2 linked regions of the Neodiprion lecontei genome follow. The protein of the gene in region 2 binds, or shares a complex with, the protein of the main gene of each other region. Links are inferred from orthologs where the notes say so. Each region holds a gene or a part of one and is shown on either strand. Other genes may lie near its edges.

The links.
Region 1: cyclin-dependent kinase 9 (region 2) and ell-associated factor Eaf share a complex: the UniProt entries of both Homo sapiens proteins name them as parts of the super elongation complex. The link is inferred for Neodiprion lecontei from reciprocal best matches to the Homo sapiens genes CDK9 and EAF1.

Annotation. Positions count from the first base shown.
Region 1 is NC_060263.1:14,748,079-14,753,231, reverse strand, and holds ell-associated factor Eaf, read left to right. Parts: upstream 1-1,863; 5' UTR 1,864-2,495; intron 2,496-2,967; 5' UTR 2,968-2,995; coding exon 2,996-3,092; intron 3,093-3,165; coding exon 3,166-3,397; intron 3,398-3,487; coding exon 3,488-3,721; intron 3,722-3,798; coding exon 3,799-4,094; intron 4,095-4,190; coding exon 4,191-4,321; 3' UTR 4,322-4,527; downstream 4,528-5,153. Other genes in the region: ubiquitin carboxyl-terminal hydrolase MINDY-3 homolog, read left to right, coding at 1-277. UniProt on the Homo sapiens protein: Acts as a transcriptional transactivator of ELL and ELL2 elongation activities.
Region 2 is NC_060261.1:1,241,640-1,246,487, reverse strand, and holds cyclin-dependent kinase 9, read right to left. Parts: upstream 3,007-4,848; 5' UTR 2,860-3,006; coding exon 2,753-2,859; intron 2,676-2,752; coding exon 2,591-2,675; intron 2,343-2,590; coding exon 2,252-2,342; intron 2,171-2,251; coding exon 2,004-2,170; intron 1,924-2,003; coding exon 1,682-1,923; intron 1,582-1,681; coding exon 1,434-1,581; intron 1,330-1,433; coding exon 1,021-1,329; 3' UTR 771-1,020; downstream 1-770. UniProt on the Homo sapiens protein: Protein kinase involved in the regulation of transcription.

The sequences.
Region 1 (5,153 bases), on a different chromosome or scaffold from region 2:
CGAATCTCTAGGAATTATTCTGCTAGCAGCTTTCATGGATGAATTTTTTCCCGAAGATCCTCGTACTTGTCCTGACACATTTGTGTTGTTCCACTACAACGGTTTGCCACGAAGCAACCTAGAAAACAAAGTCACATATCGGAGAGGACAAGCTGTGCTGCTAGAATGTACAGTCAAATGTATTTTAGATAGCAATCCGATGTTGACGGTATTGCAAACTAAATGGCCGAGCATCGAGGTACAGTGGGACAAAGAACAGACACCCAGTGTCAACTAGAAGAACAAATTTTTTTTTTTTGTTTTATACGAAAGTGTAGAGACTGCATACTCTCTACGACTGAGTCTAGACTGTGTACAAAAAAAAAGGTAAAAAGAAAATAATAAATCAGAGCACCGTAGGCATTGAGGTAGAGAAATGTTAAAAAAAAAATACGACCAGTTACGTGATTCTAAATTTATAATAATATAACTACCTTAAGTAATATCTAAGGTACCAATTGTCTAGGGTCGTGACGGTTTTATTTATATGTATAAAAAGTAATGATATTAAATTAATGAAAAACAGCACATTCCGGAAGCAACCTTGACTTTTTGAGTTAGAACGAACAGCGGGATTGTACATAGCTCTGGTCATATCTAGTAATTTTCTTTAATTTGCTAAGAGATGTTTCAAAGATTCAAAAGATTTGAGGGCCATAAGTTCATAACAATTATTGTGAAAATACTTCTGCTGCAAAAGTTAAAACCAGTAATAGTAATAATGATAATAATAACGATACTGAAGTGCTGAAGGCTTTTTGGATTCCGATAAAAACAAAAGTTAAGACATTATTTTGCTAAGATGAAAGGATTATTTTTTTGCATATAAACATCGAGATAACAGAAAAAATTGCACTGGTGTAAAGCCAATTGAAGGTTGCCGTTCAATCTCATGCACACGAATTCGACTAATATAATGAAGAAATCTCAACAGAATTAAAACAGTAATTGTCTAAATTAAAAGCTGATTCCCCCTTTGCCATAGTTACGTTTTGGGTTACGCTGAATGCGGTATTCTTGATTTGCCTTGTTAATTTGGAAAGTCAGTAGCACAATGTAAAATCAACAATAATGACAACAATAAATTCGTTGCTTTACGCAAATGCTCTGAAGACTGAGTATAATATAGGAATCAATGTTTAGAGTATAACTACCACGTTACGTTTGTAATAAGGTTGCGTACCAAAAGAGAAAGAAGTGTCTTTGAGGAAAAATATAGTAATGATAACATTAAATAAAAAGAAAAACAAAGTTATACTGATAACAATTATAAACGAAATTAAATAATAATAATAATAACTGATGTAAAGAGAATGTTCTCAAACATTAGGTATAGATAATGTTTCTGAATGAATATGTATACAGGAACAAGGTAGCGTATACTAGAATCTTCTTAATATATTCAGTCAAGAGAGTGAAAGAGAAATATAGTGATTCGTCTCATTGTATAAGTTGAAAGTTTTTTTTTTTTTCTGCACAGTTTAGACAACTAGCAACAAATGTATTTAAGCTGACCATCATAGTGTACATGAGTACATGGGATTAATAGTTAATTATTTATGACGCTCTTCTAAAATTGTTGAAAAAAGAAAAATGAAAACTAATATTGAAATAAAGAATAGTAACACCTCTCATGTTATAGTTATTCTTATCAATCCAATTAATCATTGTTGCATTTTTCGCATGTGTAACCCACCGCCGTGCGGTTTTCAAATTTTTGCGGACTCACGACTAACAGCCGAAACCACCGATTAGCAAGAACGGGTCATGAGATCGATTGATTGAGTTTTCTTGCCAATCAGAGCTGGGCTCTGTAACATTTTCTCTACTGTCACAAATATAGGAGTAAAATCACAAAGTGTCAGTCAGTTGCTTACGGTTTGTATAACAATAATGCAGTTGCTGGGCTGTTAATTTTTGTTTAACCAACAATGAAGTTGCATGTACCGCGAATTGCAAATGCGAGTGTCGAGATTGAAGGATAATTTGGAAATTTATGAAAATAGAGAACGAATTCGAGGTTATGTTTTGCATGCGTATTTTGCCGTTCTATCGAGTGACGTCACCTGTCACTCATGCGAAAAGTAACAACCGAAGCTGCTAGTACCTATGATTTTTCCTCGCGAGTCGCTAAAGAGCGCAACAAGTTCCAATGGTTGCGACGACTTCCGTCTGCCGTAAGATTGCCGGGCCCAGATTTTAGAATTTATAACACAGCTGACAAAGTCGACAAAGGTCATTGTAACCAATCAGGCTGCAGATTTGATCGGACAACTTCTTTTATCACCGGTGACAAAAATTTCGGTATCCCAGGTCCTCGGATGCCATTTTGACGCTATCCAGTATTCATTCCCCTTCTTTCAATTTGTACATACATACTTGTCACGCCATGAGTGCGAGAGTTGCAGCCCGAGACTAAAAATTGGGTCAATGGAATATGTAGCGTAAATTTCGAGGTAAGTTTTCACCATTATTTTGCACAATTTTTCGACAATATTACAACCGTCTTGACCGACTCTACTCGAATTCTATCTAAACTCGTATCCAATCTAACCAGCTGGGTTTTACCCGAGCAAACAATTCCGCTTTTCTCCCTTCATTTTTTTTTCCTTTCTTCTGCTCTCATCTTTCGTAAACGAAAAAATACCAGAAAAGTCAAGTAGACAAAGGCCAAAAAATGTTTTGTTTCTATTTAAAAAAAAGCCTGATCTTCCAACTGTTATTCACAATCCTACCATGTTTTATTCTTACTCGACAATGTGGTAGAAAAGTTGATGGGGGAAAAATGTTCAGATAAATATTGTAGGCTGTGAACAATTATCTCAGTTTTCTGCAAAAGCTGCAAAAGCCATCACTTATATTTGTCCCCATTTCAACTTGTTAATGGGTATGAAACAATGCTTTATCGCTTTATTAAATAAATGCCAGACATTTCTGAGACGCTATTTCCTCCGAGATGGCCGAGAAACTTGGCCTCGGCCCTGAGATTCGGGAGCTTAAGCTGGGTCCCAGTTTTACTAACAAGAAGTCGACCGCGTTCCACACACTTAAGTGTAAGTATCTGTACGCTACATTTGTAGTCTGTGTTTCGAAGTCAAACAACCCTACTGATTTATTTATTCGTAGATGACTTCAAACCAGCCAGTGTGGACGTATCTAAGATGGCACAAGTTGACGTTGGATCGAATAATACCATGACTGTAACTGTGCCACACTTAGATGGTGCTGGAACACCTCATACTGTCTTCAAGGGCTCCCAGCGACCGTATCACAAGGAGTGTGTATTGATAATAGATCGTGTCACAGGGGAAGTAACACTCGAGAAGTTGTCATCGAATATACAAGTGAAAAAAACGCGGTAAGCATTGTTGGCATCTATCGTTTCCCGGTTTTATAGAACGTTACATTTTCAAGATAGTGAAATAAACGATAAATGGTTCCTTCACAGAACCGAGCCTAAGAGTCAATCATTTCTGAGTATTCCTGGGCAAAACAGCAACAACCGCCCTTTCACGCCGGTTGAAAACAAGAAAAGCCCGACTCACGGTAGGGCCAATGGAAGAACCAAAGTGGCTACCGGGAGAAAGAAAGAACCCATGGTTCAGCTACATCCAAAACAACACAGCCCGCTTCAAGCGTCACCTTATCATGGAAAAAGCCCCCCAAACATACCAAGCAACAGGTATCCAACGACCGGTTGATATTTACCAGTCCCCAGAGTCTATGCACTATATTCTCTGATGCTACTTACCATTACAGTTCTCCTGTGCCGCCTTCCATTGCACAGTCAACTTTGGCCAGTCTTCCAATGATTGGTTTAGACAACGACGACTTTGCTTTGTCTTCTATGATGACGCCCGCTCAACCCTCACACGGTTCGGCACCACCCAGGACTGAAACTCCAGTTATTCGGGAAATAACTCTGGAGGAAAGCGCTCCTGCTACTGAAAGTGATGAACGAGCTCTCAGCGACTCAAGTTCTAGTAGCTCCAGCTCTGATAGCTCTGACAGTGATTCGGATGCCGAAAACATACCAGTTCCGATGACTACTAATGGCAAGTATAGTTATTTAAACTTGTCAATTGGTTATGCCTGCTGCAAGTATTCTTCTTTCTTATTTCATTGATTCGGATTTATACGTTTCTTTTCAGCTTGTTCAAACTCTATTTATCTACTTTCAGGACATGCAAACGGCATGTCAGCATCTCCCTCGTTGTCAATGCCTGATAATTTGCTTAAGGATGATCTACAATTGTCTGAATCTGGATCAGAGAGTGACTAAAAATATCATCTCTCCTATTTATCATCTCTTGACTTGAATTGGGGAGAGAGGGCAATAAAGATGCGAGTTTCATTATATCGGCCATTGTGGCTGCCAGCATGAGTTCAAATTTTTATAGCTGACAACAACAGCATCATATTGGATGAAAGAAATTACGTTATAAATATGTACAAAGCCTTATGTAATGAATTAATTAAATGAATTGTTCATTATAGTTTTCTCCTGTACATCAGAGAACTTAAACTCGAAGATTCTTTTTTCAGGGAGCGCAAAATTTTTAACTAGCGTGCCTAGACCAACTTCAATCCCATAGATTATAATTATGCCACGAGATAGCATCAATGTAACTTTTGCAGTCGCCGTAGAGATAATTTAGGGCAGTGAGCGAGGCACTGACAAACCTAAAACGTGCCTAGAAAAAGAAAGAATCGCTGGCACCACTCTATTGGTTTGTTCATGCTAGCTATACTTTCTACATTTTCTCAAATATACAGTGATAGTGTTCTTACCGAAGGTGTAAAAAAAAGAAAAGTGGTGAAAGTGTAGCTGCACGAACAAACCCTATCTTTGTCTCATTCGCCTCTGATTATCAACTGTTGACGCCGGAGCGGCGACTAGTGTGGAAACAAGGACAGAGAGTTAGGTGTCAACGATTCTCCTTCCCTTTCTACGTGCCTTTCAGGATTTTCGTCGCCTCGCTCACTCTATCCTAATATTATCTCTATGGTCTTCGTACGGATGTTCTACGAACTAGTGTCGCCCACGAACCGGTCTTACATACAGGCAGCCCCCTGACACCCGCTGCTAAAGGTGGTTCGCAAAATGTCCCTCG
Region 2 (4,848 bases):
TACGTACCGCGCGATCCTATTCGGTAAATAAGGGTACATTATTCCGTTATTCCGAGATAGGATTTAATGAAACGAACCGTTTTTGTAGTATCTTTTGATCTATATTCAAACGATGAACCAATTACCTCCCAGCGCCACACAGCTTAGCCATGTCGATTGATTAGATCTAATGCTCGTACTTTATCTTTCTCAATTGTACTACCCTTGCATTGCATTTCAAAACTATAATACTATACAAGTCATTCAACATCTCTAATAACTAATGTGTATTTTTAGTAATATATATTCTTATGATGTTGAAAATAGCATTTTGAGATCAGCGTCAGATTTTTTTCATTTTTTTTTCAATGTTGTATCTTTTTAATTGTAATTTTTCCTGAGTCCTACAATGCCTAATTTTATAATAGTTAACTAGCTACTATTTGATATATTAAAATGTTTGATAATATACATGAACCTAGCCACCAACACCTCTTATTGCAGAATATAGATGAAAACTGCGCAGAATCGCTTCCTGTTCGATTATATTTATAAGGAGTGCAATAAACAATAAATTTATATACACTGTCGTGTTCACTTGTTCTGGAATAAATAAAGTTCGTATCTTCGAACAATGTAATACATAACCAACATCATCTCATCAAATAACATATTTTGCTACTTTCCACGGAACGGACGATTCAAATCGTAAATAAAAGTGTATTAAAAAATCGGCGGCAAGTCGAAGCATATAAGTGGAGGACAGAGGAGATTGAATGAGTGTAATTTAATTGATATAGAAAATGTATATTTGAGTATATTATTACACGTGTTAAATTAAAAAAAATTACAATATATGTATAACAGTCTAATGTACACGAACTGGGCCAGATAAATCGCTACTGGTCCAACACTCTTGAAATGCAATCGCACGTTTCAGTCATACAGCAACGCTTTTTGAAAAGCGTTAGATAAATTCTATCTAACTATATCTAGGTATAATGTATTTGTGTAGCAGTGTCTGTTGCGTCTATGTACATTCTAGAATACGCGATCCTGATAACCACTGTCCGCCATACTCGAACTTGGTTTGGCAGGACCTCCAGGAACTGGGTGATGCGGGTGACGCATGTGACCCGGTCGTCGGGGCGGTGCTAAATACTCGAACATACTTTGAGTGTGCTGCGCCAACATTTTGCTGAGATCACAGGGCATTGGGTCGGTCCAGAAAAAGTCGTGATTCAGTGCCGAATCGGAGTCATACCTTTTGCTGGGATCGAGAATTAATAGTTTGTCTAAAAGGTCACAAGCAAAGGGGTCCTTGACATACGGCTTTAGTCTCTCCTTCACCTAGTACACATGAATTTGTCATTTATTGATTCAAGTGCAATTCTTCTTACAATGAAATTCGATTGATAAATTAATGTTTTAATTTTCTTATAAAATTCATGTACCTTTCTTTTTTGTCCTTTGGGCAATTCCATCTTGTTAAATAACTCTAAATTTTCTACACCGGGCCATACTTCGGTGGTCACAGATCCACATAGTTGAGAAATTAGCGTGAGCTGTTGTTGTTCAGTGTTTCCTTGCATAATGGGTGATCTGGATTTGATAAAAGTTTGACAATATGAATGCACTTCCATTAAAAATAAACTGGAAGCAGCCATAGCAAAAAACTTAATTCAAATCTTAAATCGTTTACCTAGTCCACATTTCCGCCATAATACAGCCCGCCCCCCATAGATCTACTGGTGGACCGTAATTTCTGTCTCCCAGTAACAGCTCTGGTGGCCTGTACCAGAGGGTGACAACACGGTTTGTGTACCGATTTACTTGACCGTTTTTATTGGCACTGAAAGCTCGCGCCAGTCCAAAATCTGCGAGTTTCAATATACCGTTTTTTGTTATAAGAACATTGGCAGCCTTCATATCTCGGTGTAAGATCTGTGAATGTAAAAAACGTAATTAGGAGTTTCGGCAGATATAAATGATTTTCAGAGAAACATTAGTTGAATCTAACTTACCTTGTTACTATGAATGTAGTATAGGCCATTGAGTAGTTGTTGCATGACTTTCTTTATTTCACCCAAGCTGAATTTGACGTTTACATTAGATAATAGACCTGCTAGATCATGTTCGCAGAAATCGAACACCAGGTAGAACGTCGATCGATAACGGTTGTATTGAGCCGCTATAACAACAAATCATAGCGCGGCGCTGAGTATTCTGCAGTTTTCTCACAACCAATGCAATTCGATTCTGATGAACATACCTCGAGTTCTGCATATTTCAATTAAATTAACCACATTTTCGTGCTTCAGTAACTGCAATATCTTTATTTCTCTCAGTGCTGTAATGGGAAACTGCAATGATACCATATTAGGTAAATGGTTTTGGGGTTAGAATGGAATGATGCTTATGACTAACAGTCGCAGTACAATAACGCGGTACAGGGTGTTGAATCTAGGGCTTAGGCACACGATCTCAAGTGTAAGTTATTCCAATTGTTTACGGGAGTCATGCCGAGTAAAAAAGCAAATGTACGACTAAGAGAACAAGGTCGAAGCTACAAGATGAATAATGCGGCTTGACGAAAAATTCTGATAGTTACCCCTTCTTTCTCGTTGTCCATAAGAACTTTCTTCATTGCTACGAATTTTTTGTTACTGTTCTTTTCCTTTGCTTTAAACACTTCTCTGTGAAAAAGTAATCAAAGATTGTAACAAACATAACCTTGGAGTGGGAGTTGTTAACATATGAATTGATCACGTACCCGAAAGTACCCTGGCCGATTTTAGCAACTTTTTCATATTTCGTTGATTCATCGCAGTGCGGAAAATCGAATTCTTCAATGTACTTCTCCTTTTCCTTTGTATTCATGGCGCGATAAAATATTTCACTTACTTCAAAAACTCAGGTCATTACAGTCACTACGTTTGGGTAAACCACTGAAAGTAATATCCGACAGCTATCAGAACCACGGTTCTAAACGTTCTAAACCGTGATCAGAACGAACATGAACCGCTCCGTGGAGGCCTTAAAACATATACCAGTAGAGACGCTACCGCGCTTGGTTCCAAACCGCGGCCAGGGTGGATAACTCAGGGCCTCGCCGGCAGACTGCGCTGTCGTTTTAAACGGTACAGTCGACTAAATTATATTATTTGCGTTTGTTAAGAGAACATCAGAGTATGTACATGTATGTATTCTAACATGTATTCGCATTATTTTCAGATGGTTAATCTCCAGATTTCCACGAACTGTGGCTGTAAAACATTTTTCAAACATACAGGTATATTTTCTGGAATTACATGCTGAAATAGAAGCAAGAAATGATTGAAAAAATTAGCGATGTTGTCATCTAATTTTTTCAACAATTCCTATCCTCTTCCGCGCTTCATAACATTATCAGCGATTAAGATTTGTTCAGTGACGTGTCAATCGAACAAGTCATTATCCCTGCGGTATTCTAACGTTAGATTCAACGGTCATGGGTTATGTTATGTTTATTGAGATTGAGTTTGTTCGCGCTCGGCCGACTATGACGTTGTAGGTTTCTGTGCATTGTCAACATAACGGTCTAGTGTAAAAAATTAGCAGTCTCAGATTCTCATGAATAACCCAAGTACAATCCGTCATTGAGCCACTGCATATTTCTCCAGCTTCGATAAAAAAAAAACTCGATGAAAACACACAACACTCAACTGTTAAAATTGAAGTTACATACTTAAAATCTTCATGGGTATTAAATTGTATGTCTATTCAATTAGCGAAAAACCTAAGTGAAGAACATGTATTTTGCCCTTGTTTTTGTGGTAAAGATTACCACGGCAGTACATTACCACGTCATTACTTATGATGTATTGCAGGATACAGCAACCCACCAAATTGATCACAAGTACGATCAAACACGGCACGTGTATTCGCATTTGTTTCAAAAGTACAGACATACCGCTCGTCGCGCACTCCAGTGGCGGCCCGCTAAACTATATGCCATGGCTACACATTTGCCCAACAAATGAGTGTCTACTTTGTGGAAGCTGGCCCTCAATAATAAAAATAAGTGGTATAATATTATGTAGAATATATCATCATTAGTATTATGTATAAGTATACAATATTATGATTATGCTAACTAAACTTGGTAAAGTAGTATACATTGACACCTGAACACTTGTACTAGAAATAAAACACATTGAATAAACTGAAACTGAAACTTTGTAACGATGAGTTTGTGATTTTTCTATTCCACCTCTTTAATAACCCGGTGTCAATTTCATATTTTTCAGCCGTGAGTTGTGATCCGTTGCTCGCAGCGTATCGGGACTGCGCCCAGTCGATTTCTCTCGCAAAATTACGTCGGAATAGTGCACGAAAGACCTTATTCCAGCACTTTTCGAAATCGCGAAGATTTTCGCCAAAAATGCAAAGGGTTAGCCTTACTTTTTCTTCATTTTTGGAGCCGAAAATTTTTGGTCTCAGATACGATTTGTATGACCATTTCCTAACTAATTGGACCGCCAGGAACTCAGAAAACGCAGCGAAAAGAGCGTGGGATCAACAGGAGAGAAATTCCGAAGGAAAAAGCACCCGCTGAAAAACGTCGAAAACACAGGTTCTGGTTTTTTGGCTGTAACTTTTGATCTGTTGCTCGCAGCGTATCGGGACTGCGCCCAGTCGATTTCTCTCGCAAAATTACGTCGGAATAGTGCACGAAAGAATTTATTCCAGCACTTTTCAAAATCGCGAAGATTTTCGCCAAAAATGCAAAGGGGTTAGCCTTACTTTTTCTTCATTTTTGGAGCCGAAAATTTTTGGTCTCAGATTCGATTTGTATGACCTTCTCCTGACTAATTGGACCGCCAGGAA